Arabidopsis thaliana: one gene and its partner. The protein of the gene in region 2 interacts with the protein of the main gene of each other region in a pairwise test. Each region holds a gene or a part of one and is shown on either strand. Other genes may lie near its edges.

Evidence for each region. The genes of interacting proteins can lie anywhere in the genome.
Region 1: the proteins of AT2G46550 (region 2) and ATG8D interact in a two-hybrid assay, tested with the Arabidopsis thaliana proteins (one large-scale study listed by BioGRID).

Annotation. Positions count from the first base shown.
Region 1 is NC_003071.7:2,079,224-2,089,671, reverse strand, and holds ATG8D (Ubiquitin-like superfamily protein), read left to right. Parts: upstream 1-4,789; 5' UTR 4,790-4,896; coding exon 4,897-4,933; intron 4,934-5,266; coding exon 5,267-5,373; intron 5,374-5,456; coding exon 5,457-5,481; intron 5,482-5,735; coding exon 5,736-5,791; intron 5,792-5,863; coding exon 5,864-5,916; intron 5,917-6,141; coding exon 6,142-6,260; intron 6,261-6,363; coding exon 6,364-6,461; 3' UTR 6,462-6,686; downstream 6,687-10,448. Other genes in the region: AT2G05635 (DNA repair DEAD helicase RAD3/XP-D subfamily protein), read right to left, coding at 151-188; AT2G05632 (uncharacterized protein), read left to right, coding at 1,770-1,928; PGR5 (proton gradient regulation 5), read left to right, coding at 7,985-8,281, 8,364-8,468. UniProt on the Arabidopsis thaliana protein: Ubiquitin-like modifier involved in autophagosomes formation. May mediate the delivery of the autophagosomes to the vacuole via the microtubule cytoskeleton.
Region 2 is NC_003071.7:19,109,388-19,119,835, reverse strand, and holds AT2G46550 (uncharacterized protein), read left to right. Parts: upstream 1-5,629; 5' UTR 5,630-5,844; intron 5,845-6,363; 5' UTR 6,364-6,378; coding exon 6,379-7,572; 3' UTR 7,573-7,875; downstream 7,876-10,448. Other genes in the region: AT2G46560 (transducin family protein / WD-40 repeat family protein), read left to right, coding at 1-289, 408-1,775, 1,867-1,923, 2,263-2,550, 2,627-2,800, 2,909-3,132, 3,293-3,426, 3,527-3,748 and 2 more; AT2G46540 (fiber), read left to right, coding at 8,155-8,233, 8,596-8,678, 9,114-9,149; AT2G46535 (uncharacterized protein), read right to left, coding at 9,516-9,587, 9,683-10,138.

The DNA of each region.
Region 1 (10,448 bases), about 17 Mb from region 2:
ATGAGAATGAATTCACTTACAATTTATTTACACGTATATTATTCTTATCCCAACCAATTAATTAGATCAGATTAGGAAATTAGTAGTTTAATTTATTTTATTTTTTCCTTAAAAAACTTTTTAGAAATATACACTCTCTTATGGTCTTACATTAATATTTCAGTTACTGTTTCAAAAAATCTCCTCATTATTGAAATATTTTATTTTATCAACCAATTAAACTTTACCATAAAAACTGATTAATGCTAAATTTTATTTTATTTAATAAAAATAGAATAAATACTATGTCCGTGCATAGCACGGGCCATACTGCTAGTTATTGCATATGTTTAAAGATTCCATTACTTTGTATACTCGCTTCTTCTTTGCATCTGGATTGAGCTATAGAGGAGTTAGTAGGGCTAAATGTAAGAAATATTATTTAATATTTCTCCCCTATTATATGGTCTTGTAATTATCTGTTTTCTATTGGAATAATGTTATTATTTAACATATTTGGTAACCAATTAAATTAGTAATAAAGGAGTTTTTCCTAATCAATCTCTACCTTGATGGACGGATGAGATCTAATCTTAAGGAAACCCTAATGAGGAATAGGTCCTCTCTCCACCTATAAATATATAGCTTTAGACCATCATAAAGATATCATAAAACGCAACACGTTAAAGCTAAGTTTATAGGCAAGGTGAGAGAAACTTAATCCTAAACTAAAGATCAAGACTTCAGGAAACCTATTCATGAAGACATCTCCACGACAATAAAGAGAGGTAATCCGATAAACCTCCTAATGATTCTATTATGTGATTAACCTAGATGTTTAAAGATCTTAGGGTTCATATAAAATTAACTTACACTAAAGGCTTATGTTGTGGTCGTGATTGGTTGGTCTTAATTTTTTTATTTTTTTTAATACCATGGTTGGTCTTAATTTGCAATGCACCATTAACTTCACCTAACGCTCTTTATTCTTAAGAAATATTAATTTTATTTTTTATATTAACAATTAATTTGTTCACTCTTTTTTACTTAAATATGTAAAAATGTTTCCAAAACTTTAATGATTGAACTAATATAATATCCAATTATCGAACCTCCAACATGAAAATTTCTAATCAATATTTAAATACATATTGTTTTTGTTTAATTTAAATATTGTGTTTAAATCTCTTCAAACAATTAGATATTATAATTTAATTTCTCTAAGAAACAAAAAAAATCGAAAACCCATGTATATATTTCATACTGTTTTTTAGCCTACCTCTTGAATGATTATATTCTTCAAATTTAGTGAGAAAAATATTTCGATGTATCCCAACTAAAATTCTATTTTTCTTGCTTCAATTTATGGTTTGTTTTTCTCTTTTCATAAATAACTGATAAAAAAATAAATAGAATCAAGTCAAACCAAATTAAATCGAATCAAGCCAAACCACTTTTATAAAGTATATATTCCCCATTGTGTCACTCTCATAAAATAATATTGCCACCGTTGCATTATATATGATGATAAATTTTCTAGAACTCATATTTTTTTTTAAAATGTGTGTTTTAAACTAATACATCTAAATGAAAGAAGTGTTTCTTTTGCGGACAAGTTTTCCTGGCTTTTGCTATCCCAATTGAATTGGTTTTTTTTTGTCCAGTATCTCCGCCTTCTACAGTTGTGATGCGGGCCCTCTTTCTGGCATCACCGCCTCCTATAGGCGGCGTTGGCTAGCTTTGCTTTTTTAACTCGCCGTCCAGTGTATCAGGTAGTTCCAGTTTTGTTTATGCGTTTGTTTAATTGTCTCGATTATGAAGAGTTCCAATATGTGAGATTGTTAGATCAGGAGAGTTTTCTCAGATCTACTTCTACTGACTTGTTCTGTTTTACCGTCGGGATTTCTTGTTTTCGGCCCCTATGGTTTTTTGGCAAGGTTGTTTGTTGATTGCATTGTTGTATCTACCAGTTTTCTTCGTTTTAATTTTCAAGACAGTTATGCGCCTAAGTTGTTGCTGAAAGCTCCATCGGTTTAATCTCCACGCGGATTTCCTTAGAGTTCGGGAGGAAATTACTTTGAGAAGTTCTTTTCTTTGCAGATTTGATAATGAAGATTGGTGAGATTCTCTAATTAAAAACCGTTAAGACTTCTTTGCTTGAAGATCTGGCGATTTCTGATGATTTTGGAGTTTCCTAAGGATTCTTACCAAATCGACAATGACCAACAACGATATATGCTTCACATGTCCATGCGTCTTAACCTTGCTTCATAGTCTCACATGTGGCTTTGCGTTGGAATCTTTAAATCTTACTTCTACAAAGGGTTTAGTTTCCTAGATTGGACTTTCTTTAAGTTGGGCTTCTTCTTATAAGTTAAACTTGTTGGTTCTTTGGTTATGCAACATGGATGCTTGTTTAGATAATCTAATATTGTAAAATTTGATGTGTTTGTCGAGTCATGTAAGTGAAAGATTCCACTTTTGCAACAAAAGTTTTAAATAAAGTGCAACATTTATGAGAAAGAAAAAAAAAAGGTTTTATGCAAAAGGACTCTCCAAATGATTTTTTTTGCTAGACAAACATCCATCTCAAAAAAATACAGGTCAATATCACAGTCTCAAAAGTCACCTACAATATAGTCCTTCCGTATATCGATGACGTAACAGTCGATAACTCCGTTGGAAGACATAAGAGTTTTGTTAAACAAACCCTCCATATATTTTTTTATTTTTGCAAGACAAACCTCAATGTCAAATAAATACAATATTACAATCTCAAAGTCACCCGCGATATAGTCATTTTGTATAGCGATGACATGACAATCGATAATTCCGTTAAAAGCATAATGGATATCAAAATAGACCTTTGTTTTGCTTTTGTTGAAAACCACATGATTGTGTGAGTTTCGTTATTAGAAATAGAATTGAGGGAAATAATTAGAGTTCTTTCATATTATATCTTCTTCTTTATTCATATGAAGTTTGGAGATTCATTTTTCTTTTCCATTTCGATCTTCATCCATTTCGATGTATGTGTTTGTTGAATTGTGTTCCACATGATCAAAAATCTTGGTTTGATTTTAAGTGATTCATTTACAGTTTTGAAGATCCCAATGAAAAATAAATATGAATCTCCAAATTTTCAGATAAATAAAAATTCAATAATTTTGGTGTATATTGTTTTATGGGTAATATTAGTAGATAACCAAATAAAACATACAAATTAAGAAACTAGCAGAGAGAAAGTTTTTTGTTACAAAATAACCATGGATCCCACGTTGTCGGAAGAAAGGAAATAACAAATCTACCCTTCATTTGTTGTAAGATGAACAGTAAACGAAATACATCCGTGTAATTTTTCAAAATAGCATGTAACATTAAAATTTCACATGTTATATTTAGTTTAAAAACATGCTATTTCAAAAAACGTTATGAATTTTTAAGAAAAAATATTCTTATGAAATTCTTTTACGTGAACAGAATCTTAAAAAAAAAAAATTATATGTGATTTTAATAAAAACCATGTATTACTAAAAAATAGGAATATATTTTTAAAGAAATCACGTGTGATCTTAATAAAAAACGTGTATTACTACAAAATATCATGATAAAAAGAGATATTAAACTGAATAGAATGTTTTTTCCAAAAAATACCAGGTGCTTTTTAATAAATACTATGTAATAAGAGAAAATAACAAGATAAAAAGAGGATATTATGTTATCGCATGTATTTCGGAAAAATAACATGTTACAAAGGACATTTACGTAATTACACGTGTTTTCCAACATGTTTCCGACAAGATACTGTGATTCAAGGTTAGTTTGTACATTCTTTTCAAATCTATAGTCATTTATTATAAATACTCTTGTTTTATTGTATGTTTTCTAATGTAGTTATTGGTTGTCATGTCATCACTACACAAAAAGATAATATTATGAGTGATTTTTAAGATTGTAGTGTTGACATTCATTTATTTGATATGAAGATTTTTTTTTACAAAAAAAGTTTACATAGAAATTTTTTACACTAAATCTTTATGTTTTTAATAGAGTTATCGTCTATATCAAACCTACATTTATTTGACATAATAGTTTATCTTATAAAAAATGACTTCATCTGTTCTTTTTTATTTGATTGGTTAGGAAAAACACACATATTAAGTTAAACATATTAAAATTGTTAAATGTATTATTTTTTGTATTTTACAATTTTTTATAACTTTAAATCAATAATATTCAATTATTTTTATCAAAGTTTATAATTAATTAATAATAACTAATAAATATTTCATAAAAAATCTAAAAATTAATCTTTTAAAAACTTATTTTTTTCAAAAAACAGAGAGTGTTAAATAGATAGATTTTTTTACACAAAACCCAAAAAAAAAAACTAAGACCTTGAATGTTTTTTAGATTTTGTAAGAGTTTTTGATTTTTGTTTTTTAAAAACTTATTTTAATACCAATCAAGATTTTAAAATTTTGGTTTCCCTACAATTTAGTAAAACTATTTTATTGTAGTTTTCCATTCATATTTAAGTTTTTTAGTTTTTCTAAAGTTTAGAAAATCTAGTTTTTACTCAATCAACGTTATTTTTTCAAAAACCAAAAACCAATTTTTTAGGGGTTTTTAAAACAAAAATATAATAACAAAAATCTAAAATCTATAGACTAAAATCTAAACTCAAAAACTGAATCGAAAATATCCATTCAGGCCTAATACATCCAATATTTCAATACTTCTTAACTCTTAACTCTTAAGTTTTAAGTAATTAAATATATAAAGATCTGTTGCCAAGCGTACCCTTTTTATAAACATTCCAAATAACTATCTCCATTCTTTGGAGTTACCCAATTTCGACGTTGAACACAAACCCTTGCTTCTCTCTTCTCTGTTTCTCTCTCGCAGCGAAAAATCATGGCGATTAGCTCCTTCAAGCATGAACATCCTCTTGGTTCGTTTTCGATTTAAACCTAATCGATCAATCTTGTTGATCTTTGTGTATCTCTCTCTCATCGTAGGGATTTTTTTAGCGACTAGGTTTAAAAATTCTCAAAATCTGGTTACGTCTATTTCAATTGCTTCTGAGTTTGCATGAATTGATCCTTGATTCTGATTTCCAACGATTTCAATTTTGATTGCGTTAACAGTTATAAGAATCCGCAAAATTATATGTTGAATGATTTTATCGCCGATTCTGTATTGTTTCGTGAAGTAGTATGCATAATCTTTGATTGAAACAAGTTTTGTGTTTATTGATGCAAATACATTATGATCTTTATTCAAGTGGAGATGAATATTGATGTTGAAGTTACTAAGTTTCACTTGTCTCTCTTGTGTTCCGTGGTCGAGTCTCTGTTGTTCACGGGGCGTAGAATCGCTATTTCAGTCCCTGTACATAATCTTTGATTGAAACATGTTCTGATTTGGTGCTGCTTTTGCTGAGGAAGCAAAATACATTATAGTCTCTGTTCAAGTGGAATCCTAAGATATTATCACTGAGTATGTGTTGTTCACGAGGCTTAGAATCACTATTTTAGTCCCTGGAGCCTGGAGTAGTAGTGTACATAATCTTTGATTGAAACATGTTTTGATTTTGTTCTACTTTTGCTGAGGAAGCAAAGTACATTATAGTCTCTGTTCAAGTGGAATCCTAAGATATTATCGCTGAGTCTGTGTTGTTTTACGTGGGTTAGAGGATGTTGATGTGTTGAAAATTGATGGATCTGTGTTTTTTTTGCTCTTGAATGTTACAGAAAAGAGACAAGCTGAAGCAGCACGTATCAGGGAGAAGTATCCAGACAGAATACCAGTATGAATTTTGGCTATTTTCATTTAAGAAAATTGCATAGCTTTTGCCTTATTCTCTCTGAAATTGTTGCAGGTCATTGTCGAAAGAGCCGAGAAGAGTGATGTCCCGGATATTGATAGGAAAAAGTAAGTCCTTACTTCTCTTGAGGAGTTGGATATAATCTCTTTCTTCTCACTGAAAGTGGCTTCAAGCCCTTTTCTGAGAACCCTACACTCCCTCACATTTAGTAATGAATTGGTTAATTGGATAGAAATAATTTTTTTTTATTGAAAGATCTGGAGGAATTTCTGGTTTTCATGGTTTGTTGCTTAGGGATAATGAATTGGCTGACTTACTATTCAAAACTTTAGGTACTTGGTCCCAGCTGATTTGACTGTTGGCCAGTTTGTTTATGTTGTACGGAAGCGGATCAAGCTCAGTCCCGAGAAAGCCATCTTCATTTTTGTCAAGAACATTCTACCACCAACTGGTTAGTTTCAAACACGTTCCTTAATCATATACTTTTCCAGTTCAAGGAATCATATCTTTTTCTCAGTTGAGCTAATAGTAGTAGTGTTATCCTTTTATTGCAGCGGCAATAATGTCTGCAATTTATGAAGAGCACAAAGACGAAGACGGGTTTCTATACATGAGTTACAGTGGTGAGAACACGTTCGGGATCTTCTTCTAATGCGCTTGGAATATGTGGATGCATCAGATTATCAATGTACAGTCTGTCTATTTCTCTGCTTGTCTCTAGTTTTCATGACATTGGACGAAGCTTTTGAAACTTGCATGCTATGTTATTAACATGATAAGGTCTTCCGTTCATGGTGTTAATTTGGCTTTATGCTACACTTAATTTCAAACTTAGTCGCTATATATAGTTGAGGTCACTTGGTGTCCTCCTTGAATATTGGCCCGGCCTATTTCACTAGTCGTTGAACCGTTACGATTTCTATCTTCTCAAAGTTAGCTCGACCGTCAAATCTCTAAGCTCTTGCAATCTCTGCTTCTAAGGAACACAAAACAGAGATAACTTTAGCTATAAATATTTAGATTTCAAAAGCAACTTGATTTAGGTAAATTTGTGCACACTCTAGAATAGATTATCATCTGTTACAGATTATTACTGTACAATCCAGCAAAAACTAGGCCTGGGATTTCGGATTAACCCAATGACCGAACTGAACAAACCGTTTTTTTGGTTCTGATAACCGACTATGAAGGGAAGGCTAAACCGATCGGCGAAATTATAATTGAAGTTCGGTTCTCGGTTCGGCAGACATAACCGATCAGTTTTCTCGGTTAATAGATACTATAAATATAAAGATAAAAACATTAGATCTAATCTTTTTAGCTTCTTCTCCGTTTCCTTTTGATCCTCATCCATGGCTATTTAGTCAATTCTCTCTATCTGCATGTGGTTTTCACTATGGTAGCACGTCGGGGCATATTTCGTTACGGAGATATCGTCATCCCTCGCTATCACCGTCACCGTCACAGACGTAGATCTGCTGATTATGAAGAGGGTAGCGGCACCAAGATACCATCAACCCTAATTTTTAATAGGTTTGGATTTTTAGTTATTTTGGGTTTAAGTTTGTTTTTCGTTTTGGCCCAATTATTGGTTTGTAATTATAAAATTTTGTTTATCTTCGCCCATTCTATAATTTTTGTTTTGACCCATTATCTTGATTTTGGACTTATTCGGTATAAACTAACCGAACTAAAAAAAAAATCGGTTTAGTTCAGAGTTGATTTTGAATCCTATAACCAAACCGACCCGAACCAAATCTTTATTCGGTTTAATTTGACAAAATTTTAAAGAACCGAAAAAACCGATTAAACCAAACCGAACCGATTACCCGAATAAACCGAATGCCCAGGCCAAAAACAACTGAAAATAAAAAATAAAAAATGAGATAGGAGAATATTTAATCCGACGGTGGAGAAATGTTGATATAATAAAACGTGATACAGAGGATCATAAACCCGCAACATGAGAAACGTAATAAGTTAAGTCAAAAAAACGAAAAAGCCAGAATCATATTTGTGGCTCTGGTTTCTCCATCCAAACAAAAACAACACCCAAACCTTGTCCACACCAAAATGTTAAACTCAAAATCCAACCACACACACACAATTTCTCTTCCTCTCTACCATTAACATCGATCAGAAAGACCGAGAGAGAGAGGGAGAAGCTGATTGATTATGGCTGCTGCTTCGATTTCTGCAATAGGATGTAATCAAACTTTGATAGGAACTTCCTTCTATGGAGGATGGGGAAGTTCCATCTCCGGAGAAGATTACCAAACCATGCTCTCCAAGACAGTTGCGCCACCGCAACAAGCCAGAGTCTCAAGGAAAGCAATCAGAGCAGTTCCAATGATGAAGAATGTCAATGAAGGCAAAGGCTTATTTGCACCTCTAGTTGTTGTCACACGCAACCTAGTAGGCAAGAAGAGGTTTAATCAGCTCAGAGGAAAAGCCATTGCCTTACACTCTCAGGTTTGCTTGTCTTATAATCATTCTCTTAAGAACTAGTCAAAGAAGCAAAGTTTTGTGGAACTGGGTTCTTTTGTTCTTTCAGGTGATCACTGAGTTTTGCAAATCGATTGGAGCAGATGCAAAACAGAGACAAGGGCTTATCAGGCTTGCTAAGAAGAATGGAGAGAGGCTTGGTTTCCTTGCTTAGGTCTTAAAAAGAACAAATCTTTCTCTCTGCTTGTGTCTGATATATACACTCACAACTCCTCTTGTTGTTCTTGTCTAGATGTATTTTGTCCAAACCTATAATCTTGATTTTTGTTACATTGCCTTTGAGGGTTACTCAAACACACATAACTGCTGCCATTCTCATCTGAAAAGTTGTTCAATAAGGTCTTAGCTGAACTAGTTTTCTCAGTCACATAGAGATACAAAATATGTAATATTGCCACTCTTTCAACAGATTAAAAAGCCTAATCATAACTCTCAAACAATTAAGGGATTGAAAAAGACTGTAAGTTTTGCTTTCTATTGAAGCATCCCTAAGATCGGAGAGGTATTGAGAGCTGCAGTTTTTTAACACCGTGAGCTTACACTGATTACTTCAAGACCCAAGTAAGATTGCATAATATGTCAATAAAGTTGTCATCGTGGAAACTTGATATATATGGAACTTTACCTAGACATTCTTTAACACAAACTCTGTTTCTGCTAGCTAAGCATTCGTTCCCAAAGGTTTCCAGGAGGTTGACTTGTTGCCAGTTGCCTTAACCTTGATTAGGTTGAAAATTTGGGTACGAGTAATGTTACAGAACCACACGTGGGAGGTCACACGTGCGAAATCAAATGGAAGAAGGAATTAATAAGAGGCTGACGCGTGTCGACTGAGGAGTGGCAGACTCAAACATGCCGTTAGGCCCTTCTATATGAGCAATATTCAGCTCATCTTTCTCTTTTATCAATTAATCTGTAAAATCTAGAATCTCTGAGAACTTTTCTAAGCTAGATATCTCACATCGAGACTAGCAGATCCTTGGGTGTTTTATGAACATCGATTGCTCATTGTAATCAGGGATTTATTCTTAATCGGAATTGATTTTACAGTGAACCGGAAAGTTATTTGTATCAAAGGTATCAAAGCTCTGTCTTTCCTTGGAGTCATGGTTCATACACGTTTTCATGATGAGTCGAAGGAGAAGGGAAAAGAGGTGGAAGGTTTGGATCCGATGGAGGAGAGGATGGCGAGGCTGGAGGCGATGATGGAAGCTCATAGCAAAGCGACGATGAAGAATCTGGCTGATATGATGACTGCGATGAGCAGATCTACAGCTCAGAAACAGCCGGATGAGCAGTCCAGTGGTGAGCGGAGTCTACCTCGATCATCAACTTCAACGGATGATAGAGTGGTTTTTCAGGATGTCCGATGAGAAAATCGACCAGAGCAGGATCAACGACGAGACAATCGTCACGAACAGGATCAGCGAAGGGAAAATCGTCATGATCAGGTTCGATTTGAAAACCCAAACAATTATGGTAACTTGACGCGTTTGGGTAAGATTGATTTGCCTCGTTTTGATGGATCTGGAATCAAAGAATGGTTGTTCAAGGTAGAGGAGTTCTTTGGTATTGATTATACCCATGCAGATCTGAAGGTGAAGATGGCTGCTATCCATTTCGATGGTCATGCTGCAACATGGCATCACTCTTTTATGCAGTCGGGTGTAGGTTTGGAGGTGTTGTATGATTGGCCTGGTTATGTTCAGTAGTTGAGAGAGCGGTTTGATGATGACTGTGATGATCCCATGGCTGAGTTGAAGAAGCTAAAGGAAACAGATGGCATTGTTGATTATCATAAGAAGTTTGAGTTGATTAAGATTCGGGTTAACCTTTCTGAAGAATATTTGGTGAGTGTTTATTTGGCAGGTTTGCGAATGGACACTCAGATGCATGTCAGGATGTTTCAACCACAAACGGTGCGTCACTGTTTTCGTTTGGGAAGGCTGTATGAGAAGGCACATCCTAAGCGTCTTTCTTCAACACCTTGGCAACCTAAGACAAGTGGAGCAGCTGGTACTTTGAAGTCACCTAGAGAGGCTTCTAATACACCTGACAAATATTACAACAAGGAGAATCAATACACTAAACCTGAGTTTAAACCAAATAATGCTAGGAAGCTGTCTCAACAGGA
Region 2 (10,448 bases):
CGTTCCAAGTAACGGTCAGTTGCATACTACACAAGGTGTTTTTGATCACTCTGTTCCTCATTCGTCGAATTGGGTATCAAGCGGTGTTTCATCTACTGTGGACACTCATTTTAGATTGGGTTTAGCCGTCCAGTTCCTCTCGATGATCTTACGGGAAGCAACTGCACCCTTAATGAATTCTGAAGTTGTTTCATGTGAGAAATTCTCACGATTTCAACATAAGCTACAAACAGCTTTGGAGCAATTTCACCAGAGATTTTCGCTGTCTGCATCTTACCTACGTAATATGGTATGAGGTCTCCACTACTACTGCTTGCACATCATATTAGTTTTCTCAGTTGAACTAATTTGACAACGCAGATACTTTGATTGCTATCTGTAATCTAATTCTTTGTTTTTGTCGACAGATGATTCTGTCAGCATACAACCGAGGGTTACTATCCATGGGACACAATATATTTCAGGAAAATAGTTCCTCAGGACTCTCAGACGACAAGTCTCACACAGATGAAGATCTCCTCCAGTATTCAGCGTTGTCTAAATTGATTCTAAAAGCGACTGATGAGAAATCATTGGTGTTATCACGTATCATTGCTGCGTGCAGTGTCACTTGCTTACACTCAGTGCCATGCTTTGAGGAAAACAAGGTGTCATCTGGACCTGATCCAAAGTGGTCCAATGCTTTGCGGTTTTACTTTCAAGGAATTCTGGAATCGTTCTCTAATTTAAGAACTTCTATAAGGCTGTGCTTGGGCTCCTCTGTGGAAGACCTGAAAACAAAACTTGCAGTTGTTCTTGATTTAGTCGAATATTGTTTGAGACTCGCAATGGCTTGGGTTCTGGGAGACGTGCATTGTCTCTTTCGAATGGTTCAGCCCCTTGTGATATCATATTTTAATGGGCATATGCCTTATGAGGTTGACCTGGAAAGTGTGAAGAGAGTATACCACCAGGAAGCTTCTGTTAGTGTACCAGATGCATCAGATGTAGGAGTTAATTCTAAGTTCAGCAGTGTTGTTGAGAATCACGGAGTTGGCTATCCAGTATACTCAATTCCAGAAGATGAAAGATGTCTGGTAACACAAGCTTGTTTCTGGAAGCATGTTTCAGACTTTGTGAAACTTAAGCTGGTATCTATTTCGATCAATCTAGATGATGGTATTTCGAATAGTGGTTCCGCTGAAAATTTTGATGCCCAGACATCATTGGACTCCAGTGATGACATTGTATGCGTAACGGAGAAGATAATGTCTGTTCTGGGAAAAACACTGATTAGCACCCTAGCTCAACTCTCTTCGTACCATGTAAAACAACTAGTATTAGTCTTGAAACAGAAACTAGAGAAGAGACTTCAGGTTCCTACCTTGTTATGGCTGCTCGAATGTCAGGGATCTCAAGCAAATTTTCTTAATCGGGATATCCCAGATGCAGGTGTAGAGACGGAAAAAAACGGTGACCCTGTGGTTTCTGTGAGGTTCTGGAAGCTTTGTGTTGATCCTCATTTACTACACGAAGCTTTCTTGTTAGAAAATTTTGACATATTTGAATGGTCAAAATCTAAACCATTGGAAGATTGGAGCGATATGTACAGAGAAGTAATCAGGAAGAATGAGCTCTATGTGCCATGCAATCAAGATGGTCGAAGTAGTAATGAGGTGGCTTCACTTGCAAACCACGCTTCAAATTCTTCACCAAAAGCTGCGGTAACTGCCAATGAAAACTCTGCGTTCCAGAACCCCAAAGAAATCCATAAGAGGACCGGGGAGCTTATAGAGGTACCTATTTTTCTTACATTGACGAACAAGTCACTGATATTGTTGAAACTTTCTTATCTTTTGAGATCGAGTATTCTAATCTTTATAACAGGCCCTTTGTATCAACGCCATTAACCATCGGCAAGCTGCATTAGCTAGCAACCGCAAGGTCAGTATATCGTCGTAATTTGCCTTTACCACTTGTTCTATCTTTAATTTCCTGTGAAATTCATAAGTTTTTGTAACTTGCCATATGCTACGCACCAAAACTTTAGATATGCAAAGATGAGTCTGCATCCTGGAAAACATCCATTAACCTTTTATCTGTATCCTGCATTCTTGCATCAGTATCTCGAGATAAAATTTTCAGATGATATTGCATGTCCCATATGAAGACCAAGTTTATGTCAATCTGTTGTTATTTTGTTGTTGCAGTGTTTTATTATGCTTAGTGGTAATGTGGCAGGAGACATAGACACATCCCTAAATGTGCATTCGTGACATGCAGGGTATAATTTTCTTTAACCTAGAAGATGGTGATTCTTCCCAAAATCAGTCAGACTATATCTGGTCAGATGCTGACTGGCCACATAATGGTTGGGCTAACTCTGAGTCAACTCCCGTTCCAACATGTGTTTCACTCGGTGTTGGTCTTGGGGATAAGAAAGGAGCACACCTTGGGTTAGGTGGGGCCACTGTTGGAGTTGTTTCTCTTTCCAAGCCTGGGAAAGCTGACAGAGTTCCTGGCTACTCTGGGTTAGGAGCGATAGCGGATCCAGGATCATTTTTTACCCAGGTCACACATAGCTAAAAAAAAAAAATTGATAAGCCAAATGTATATTTTCTCATAACATTAAATAAAATTCACGTAGATCCGCCGGTGGTTAGGAGTCTCTGGTCTAGGTTGGGAAACTCAAGAAGAATTTGAAGAGTTTGTTGATCCTCCCCCAACAGTTGAAAGTGTTATTACGAGAGCATTCTCTAATCACCCGACAATGCCCCTCTTCTTGGTTGGCTCAAGCAACACTCACATATACTTGTGGGAGGTTTGTGCCTAAACACTTGCACCATCTGTTTTAGGAGTTCGGAGTAAATGATATGACATTTCTTATCTATCCTTGTGGATCTTATAATGCAAACCTTGCATGTTACAGTTTGGAAACGAAAGAGCTACTGCAACTTATGGTGTTCTTCCTGCTGCAAATGTTTCCCCTCCTTATGCTTTGGCGTCGATATCAGCAGTGCAATTCGGTCCATTCGGACACAGATTTGCTAGCGCTGCACTGGATGGAACTGTATGCACTTGGCAATCAGAAGTTGGAGGAAGGAGCAATATTCATCCTGTTGAATCATCTCTTTGCTTCAATGGCCATGCATCGTACGTTTCATGATCCTTGAGTCTATAAGTTCTTGTTCACTAATATGCTAAAAACACATAAGTTTTAAATTATTGCTGTCAGTCATGAAAATTACCATTATTTCTCTGTTTCTTGTTCTATTGGCTTCAGCTATTCTGTTTCTGTTATTTATGGTTGCAGAGATGTAGGATATATTAGTTCGAGTGGATCCATTGTTGCAGCTTCAGGATATAGCTCAAGTGGTGCAAATGTCGTTGTGTGGGATACTCTAGCTCCCCCTTCAACCTCCCAGGCATCTATCAATTGCCATGAAGGTCCTCCAATAATTTTTTTTGTAGAAGTGTTAGTATCATTTCCCATAATCACAACTCTTAACAAGTTTTTTTTTTGTTTTGTCCCTTTTCTTCTATGAAGGTGGTGCACGCTCTATCTCGGTATTTGATAATGACATTGGTAGTGGTTCAATTTCTCCTATGATTGTGACTGGTGGCAAAAATGGTGATGTCGGTTTGCACGATTTCCGGTTTATTGCAACCGGAAAGATGAAGAAGCAAAGGAACCCTGACGGTGGATCTTCGACTGATGGAGATCAAAACAAGAATGGGATGCTTTGGTATATACCAAAGGCTCACTTAGGTGCACACCCTAAAGCCTATTTTCACCTTCATATTCCAATTTTACCGGAAAAATATCCTGAAATTTGATTGACATTGATGCAAATTTCAGGGAGTGTGACAAAAATAGCGACAATCCCACGCACAAGTCTTTTCTTGACGGGAAGCAAAGACGGAGAAGTAAAACTTTGGGATGCGAAAGCTGCAAAGTTGATTCATCATTGGCCTAAACTACACGAAAGACACACTTTTCTGCAGCCAAACTCGAGAGGCTACGGTGGAATCATCCGGGTTAGTGAACCAAATCACCTAAAGCATAATCCTTTCATCGTATTTTCTCACAGTGGCTTTGGTTTCTTAGTAAACCAGAATCAAAGTAATGTCGGTGTATGTAATCGAATTTGGGTATGTGTTACGAATTTGGTGTAGGCTGGGGTGACTGACATACAAGTTTGTCCGAATGGATTTATAACGTGTGGTGGTGATGGCACGGTGAAGTTCGTCAGCCTCGTAGATTCTTCCTATGGCGATGCTAAATAAAAAGAAGATACATTTTCCGGGAAAGTTTTGCAGTCGAGAAAACGAGTTATTGCTACCTTGCGTGTGTTTATTGAATACGTGATTTTTTGTGATGTAGTTTTTTTCTCTATATGGTTTAATATTTGTGTATATACAAATATATTAAAGATTATGAAGCAGTAGAATCTTGAGTTGACCATAATCCAGATTTTAATTTATCTTTGACTTGACTTCAATCTATACTCGGAAATATCATCTATTTATCTTTGACATAGTTTTCGTTGACTTTGTTGCATCAGATTTAGACCAGATTAAATCGGACTGATTCCAATTAGATTGGTGTTAAGTGTAGTGCAATAGAACCGAAAATAAACATTATCAAGATTTAGTTCGTTATTGTAATTTTTTTTCTTTCTTTTTGGTGTTGGTTTGGTATTAGCTCGATATAGTTTAATAAGATTATGAAAAATTGACGGCTAGGAACCTGGCCACTATCGTATTACGTAGTGGAATATTATCTTATGGTTGATTATTAAACTGCTCCATAATTTGTGTTGTAGTCTTGTAGACGAAATGATATGAATCATCAAAATGTTTGATTAAAACCCCATTTGCCAAGAATTATTCCTAAAACTATTAAGTTAAGGCAAAGGTCCATTTCATTAATAATTATTCTAAAGAAGTTAGTTGTATATATAGTATATATATAGACTATGGTGTTAATTATGACTGAATATATTAGTGCTCACATAAAGCATCTTATTAGAATATCTTAGATTGCTTAAATAATTATTAACCACGTAATAAATAAATCTCATGTAACACTATCAATTGGAGAATAATGGAGAGAGACAATTAACCATAATGACTTGAAGACACTTGGCTTCACCTAACATTCAATTTCCTAGACGAGGCCACTATTTACATTCTCTTTACCTAACTTTCAGAACTACATTAAACCAAATTGACATGTAAAAAACCTAATTTTATATTTTCAACATGTCTATTTACCATTGGCCACTTTATTACTTAAATGAAAACGATGTCATAAAAAATATTAGTAGACCCTAACTTGAAATTTAAAATTTAATCGATCATTTAAAAATCAAAATCATTCGACGCAATTACTACAAGATTTTTATGTTTTAACCAAACATTTATGACGTAATCTACCATCGCGCGTAATCGTATAGTGATAACTGATAAGATAAAAGGTCTTATCCGTTAAAAAAGGAAAGGGAAGCCTTTTTTAGATCTTCTTTTTTGTCGCCACGTGTAATTAATATCTAATCGAACGGCTGTCAGGTGAAATCTATGGGCAAATCTGTGGACTCAAATACTCATTAACATAACTATGGGTCCTCTCAGAAAACGGTGCCGTTTTGCGGAAGCTTGCGTGCTGAATGACACAGAGACTAAGAAAACGATAATAAACTGCAAAATGATTCAAAAGATTTTAATCGAAAGCAAACAAAAATTCTCTGACAATCAGAAAACAAAAAAAAATCAGAACAACTCTTATCTTCTTCACGAGACTGACTAAACAATCATAGATTTTTCCGTTTTTTGGGTTTCGTCTGGTGTTACTCTCTCCTTCTGGTTAGTTCTTTTTTTCCGAATTCTTACAAATTATTGCGGTTTCATTAAGATGAATTATGATTTGGATCACCATCCGTTGTTTTTGTGTCCGGTTTTGATTCTTAGGTCTAATCGCGTTTCATGTTTTTTTTTTGTGTTCTTCTGGGTTTGATAATTTTATAGTTGAAGTTTTATGAAATTTGATTTCAATTGCAAATAATGATGATTTGTTTAGTAAGTTGATAAATTGACAAAGAATCTGGCTTTGGTTTTTGTTTGCTTCTAAGAAAATTAGGAACTAATTCTTCAATTTACCTGGAAAGCAAAACATATCAGATTCTCTAAAAAGTAGTTTTGTAATAAGCTTTTTTGGTGATGGATCTGTCGGCAATCAGAAAGATTCTTCCTTTGAAATAAATGATTCATATTATTTTTCCTATAAATAGATTCAAAACGGTTAATAAGATTTTGCTAAATCTACCTAATTTCTAAATCACATTGATCTTGAATTGAATTCTCAGTCTCTTGTCTTATCTTTAGAGTTATGGTGAAATAATGGCAGCAGCTGAAGCAAGAGCAGTGTGGCAAAGAACAGTTAATCGTTGCTTTGTCCAAGAAGACGCTAAAAGAGCTCCCAAGTTAACTTATTGCCAATCATCTTCATCCTCAACTGCTTCTTCAACTAAGCAAGTGGAAGTTTCTGGTTCTTCTCCTCGAGTTTCTGTTGAACCACGGACTCAATCATCTTGTGCAGGTTTCATGCCTCTTCCTCGAAACCCGAATTTCCCTGATCTGTTACCCCACAACACCAGACTGTGGAGTCATCCTCATCATCAGTTTCAGGTGAATAAGAAGCAGCCATTGGAGGATGAGGTTAACAATCAAGGTGTATCTGAGAAGAAGTCTGAATTGGGAGCTGGAGAGAAACAAGGAAAGTCTTTTAATTCCGAAAGCTTTCAAGAGTTTATAGAGTTGATGGAGACAAGGGAGAGTTATGGTTCAACTGGGTATGATGAGTCCTCTGAGAAAAAGTTAAGTGAGCTCTCTTTTGATCCTAGCTCGCCGTGGAATCTTCTCTCGAGTGAGAAAGCTGCACCGTGGTGGCGAACTACGGATAAAGACGAGTTAGCTTCCTTGGTTGCACAAAGATCTCTAGACTATGTTGAGAATTGTGATTTACCAACACCGCAGAAGATGAAACGATCTTATTATGGTAGTCCACGTGGTTTTGATTCTGATGGATTGAGAGACTACTCTGTCTCTGGCCAAACCATCAAGGGTACAAGCAAAGGAAGCAGCTGCAAGAACAGACCCGAGGCTTCATCTGAGTCTGATTTAAGCAAATCCGAGCTTCTAGAAGCACTGAGGCGTTCGCAAACGCGGGCTAGGGAAGCGGAGAATATGGCTAAAGAAGCTTATGCAGAGAAAGAGCACTTGGTGAAGATATTGTTGAAGCAAGCCGCAGAGCTTTTTGGGTATAAGCAATGGTTACAACTGCTTCAGCTAGAAGCACTTTACCTCCAAATCAAGAACAAGGAGATTGACAATAAGAACAACGACGATCCAGGGGTTTCCATCCCTTGTTGGAGCAATGGCAAAGCAAGAAAAGAGGGGAGAAAGAGAAGAAGCAAAAGGGGTAAACCGAATGGAGCAAAGTACGCGGTTGGTTTAGCATTGGGGATGAGTCTTGTTGGTGCTGGTTTGCTTCTTGGATGGACTGTTGGATGGATGCAGATGCTATCGTTCTAGTTTAAAGAGAAGAAAAGAGACAAAACTTCATCTTTTTTCTCATTGAACAGCTTGATGATGTTGAAATGAGTTAAAAGATTGGCTTCGAATCAGCTTTTGGATTTCGTTAAGGAGAGAATGTAAATTGTTGTAAGAATTTTGTTAATATTGTGTTTACTAGTTTGATCTTTTCCTTCAAAAATCATATGAAATTATCTTCTTTAATGTGTAAGTAAGTATCTTTCATGTTCATGTAATATCTGCATATATTAACTACTGTACAGTGTATATGATCTTTCTTTCATGTTCCTAGAGCTTCGATTTCTTGAAAATTTAAAATACTTAGTAATTTTTTACTGCTGGAAGCAGAATGAGAAAGAGAAAGATATACAGTATATATATTTTTTAATTACGGCAAAGGTGATTATAATGGGCCGAATTGCGAACATTTGGGCCCAGTAACCCGACCCGACCGGAGATGATCTTTAATTTCGTTTCAGGTGAGAAAATGGTTTACTCAGGAGCAACTATCAATCGAATCAGACATTGACGAGGAGCTTTGGTCGTAATCCGAGGAAGAGATTAAAATCGGAAAGTGCGAAAATGCCGGTCATGGAGAAATTGAGGATGTTCGTGGCGCAGGAACCAGTTGTGGCTGCTTCTTGCTTAATCGGCGGTGTTGGTATGAACCCTAATCTCAATCTTAATTCCTCACCGATCGATCGCATTCTCTTTCTTAGAAAAGGATTTGCTTTGGGATTTATCTAGTTTCTGGAATTCCTCTTTGAATCTATAGAGCTAGTTTGCTCGATTGTAATTTGAGAATATAGAGAAATGCCTGATCCAAATCTCTCTATTCGGAATCGTCATTTCTTTGGGTTGTCAAAGAGAGTGTATTTTAAGGAGTTGAAATTAAGCTTAATTTGGAACCATGTCTTCCATTATCTCCATGTATAAGTAGCAAAAGATTATGTCTTTCTTGAACATTAGCAAAAGGCAATTGTGTTAATATACATTTGCTGATGGATTCTCTTCATCTTGTAGGACTATTTTTGCCTGCGGTTGTGAGGCCTATTCTAGACTCTCTCGAGGCTTCCAAACAAGTTAAAGCTCCTCCACTTACCGATGTATGTATTAGAATATATTTATCTCTGTGGAAATTCCTTTTGCTGCTAAAATCGTCATCTATTTCCTATCTAATGAAATGTCTCTGATGTGGGAACTCTGCATGATAGTTGTTCTTAGTATCCGTGTAGGCGAATGTTTGGACGTTTCTTTTTTTTGCTATGTGATGTAGCCTATACATCATCTCGATGTTTTGTTCCTCCTGCGTCTTCTTGTGATTTGAGAGTTCCATCTTTGGTTCATCCATGCCTTAAAAATCTATGCTTTTCATCATTGGACGAGTGTCATGATCACATTTTGTTACTGCCAAAAATGGATTGGGCATAAAAGAGACTAGTTAGTTATCACATTGCTTAGTTATCCAACGCTTTCCTATATACTCTTTACAGGCAAACAAAGGCGTCAAGTATTAACTCAGATCCAATTTGCTTTTGCAGGTGATTGCTGGTGTCACAGGGAAGAAACAGAGTTAAAACAAGCAATGACTTCCCCTGTTTTCTTACATTCAGATGATCCCTATTCCTTTTTTGTCTTTTACTCTCTCTATTCACAATGAATAAGCCAGACTCATTTGTTTGTTATGAAACTTAATATAAAGGCATGTGTGTACACTCACTTTTGTTCATCACTTGATCAGATGTATTCATTTCTTAACAACAAATGAAAAAAGCTTGAAACTTTTCTTGCCATGGCTCATGAGTCTTAACAACATTATATATGCATATCACACAGATATTAAATTACAGTAAAATTGCTAATCTTACATACACTCTTAATAGCTCTTTTTCATCATCTTGATCCCTCAATAGATAGATAGATAATGCATATTGAAAACAGGCTTAAACACTTCCACTTCTCATCTTCTTGTTCTTCCATGGCATTGCTAGCTTCAATCCCTTGCATAAACTTCCCTGCATTTCCCCAACCAAACCCGTTTCAGCGAAAGACAAGACTTGGGAAGATGAAGAAGTTATGAAGAAGGAGCGGAGAAACACAAATACTTTACCCAAAAGTGAGATCCTTTAACAGAACCACCACCATGGTAACTCCCTGATCTGTTAAACTTCATGATCTTCATGTTGTTCTCGTTGATATTATCTCCTGCTCTCTGATTCTCCGACAGAAAGACATAATTACCCCTCACAACAACATCCCCTCTCCCTTTCCTCCTCAAGAACCTCAAGAGCCCATGTTTCCTCTCGGGCAAGGGCATTTGCGTGAACTCACCAGGAAGGAGCAAACGAGGTGGCAAATCAAGACACTTGGGGTAAGAAAGAGGACGAAGAGGGTGCTTGGGCTTGCCTGGTTGGTCTTCCCAACAAAACGGAACAGAGGCAAGAGTGTGAATCGGAGAAGCAAACACACGTGGACTCGCAGGCGATGAAGTGTACAACAACGATCTTGACTTTGCAGCTAACACAAGTGCAAGCTTCGCCTTCTCTTCTTCCTTGTCTCCTCTCATTTTTATGTCTTCTCTGTTTCTTTCTTTCTTCTTCTTCAGCTTAGTCTTAGGCAGTTTCTTTTTAGGTAGTGGGAGAGTGAAGAAAAAAAAGACAATGCATTAAATATATCTCAAATCATTTGTGATTATTAATGATCCAACGGTGGTTTTTTACTGTTGACTAGATAGACAACCATTCATAAAAGTCAATACTCTTTTGTTATTAGAGGAAATTTGACTGACCACGTCACCAAATAATAGAATCATTCACCAACTAAACTGTTATTATTTGTTCTTACTATTCAAAGAATACATTGTCACTAAAGTTCAA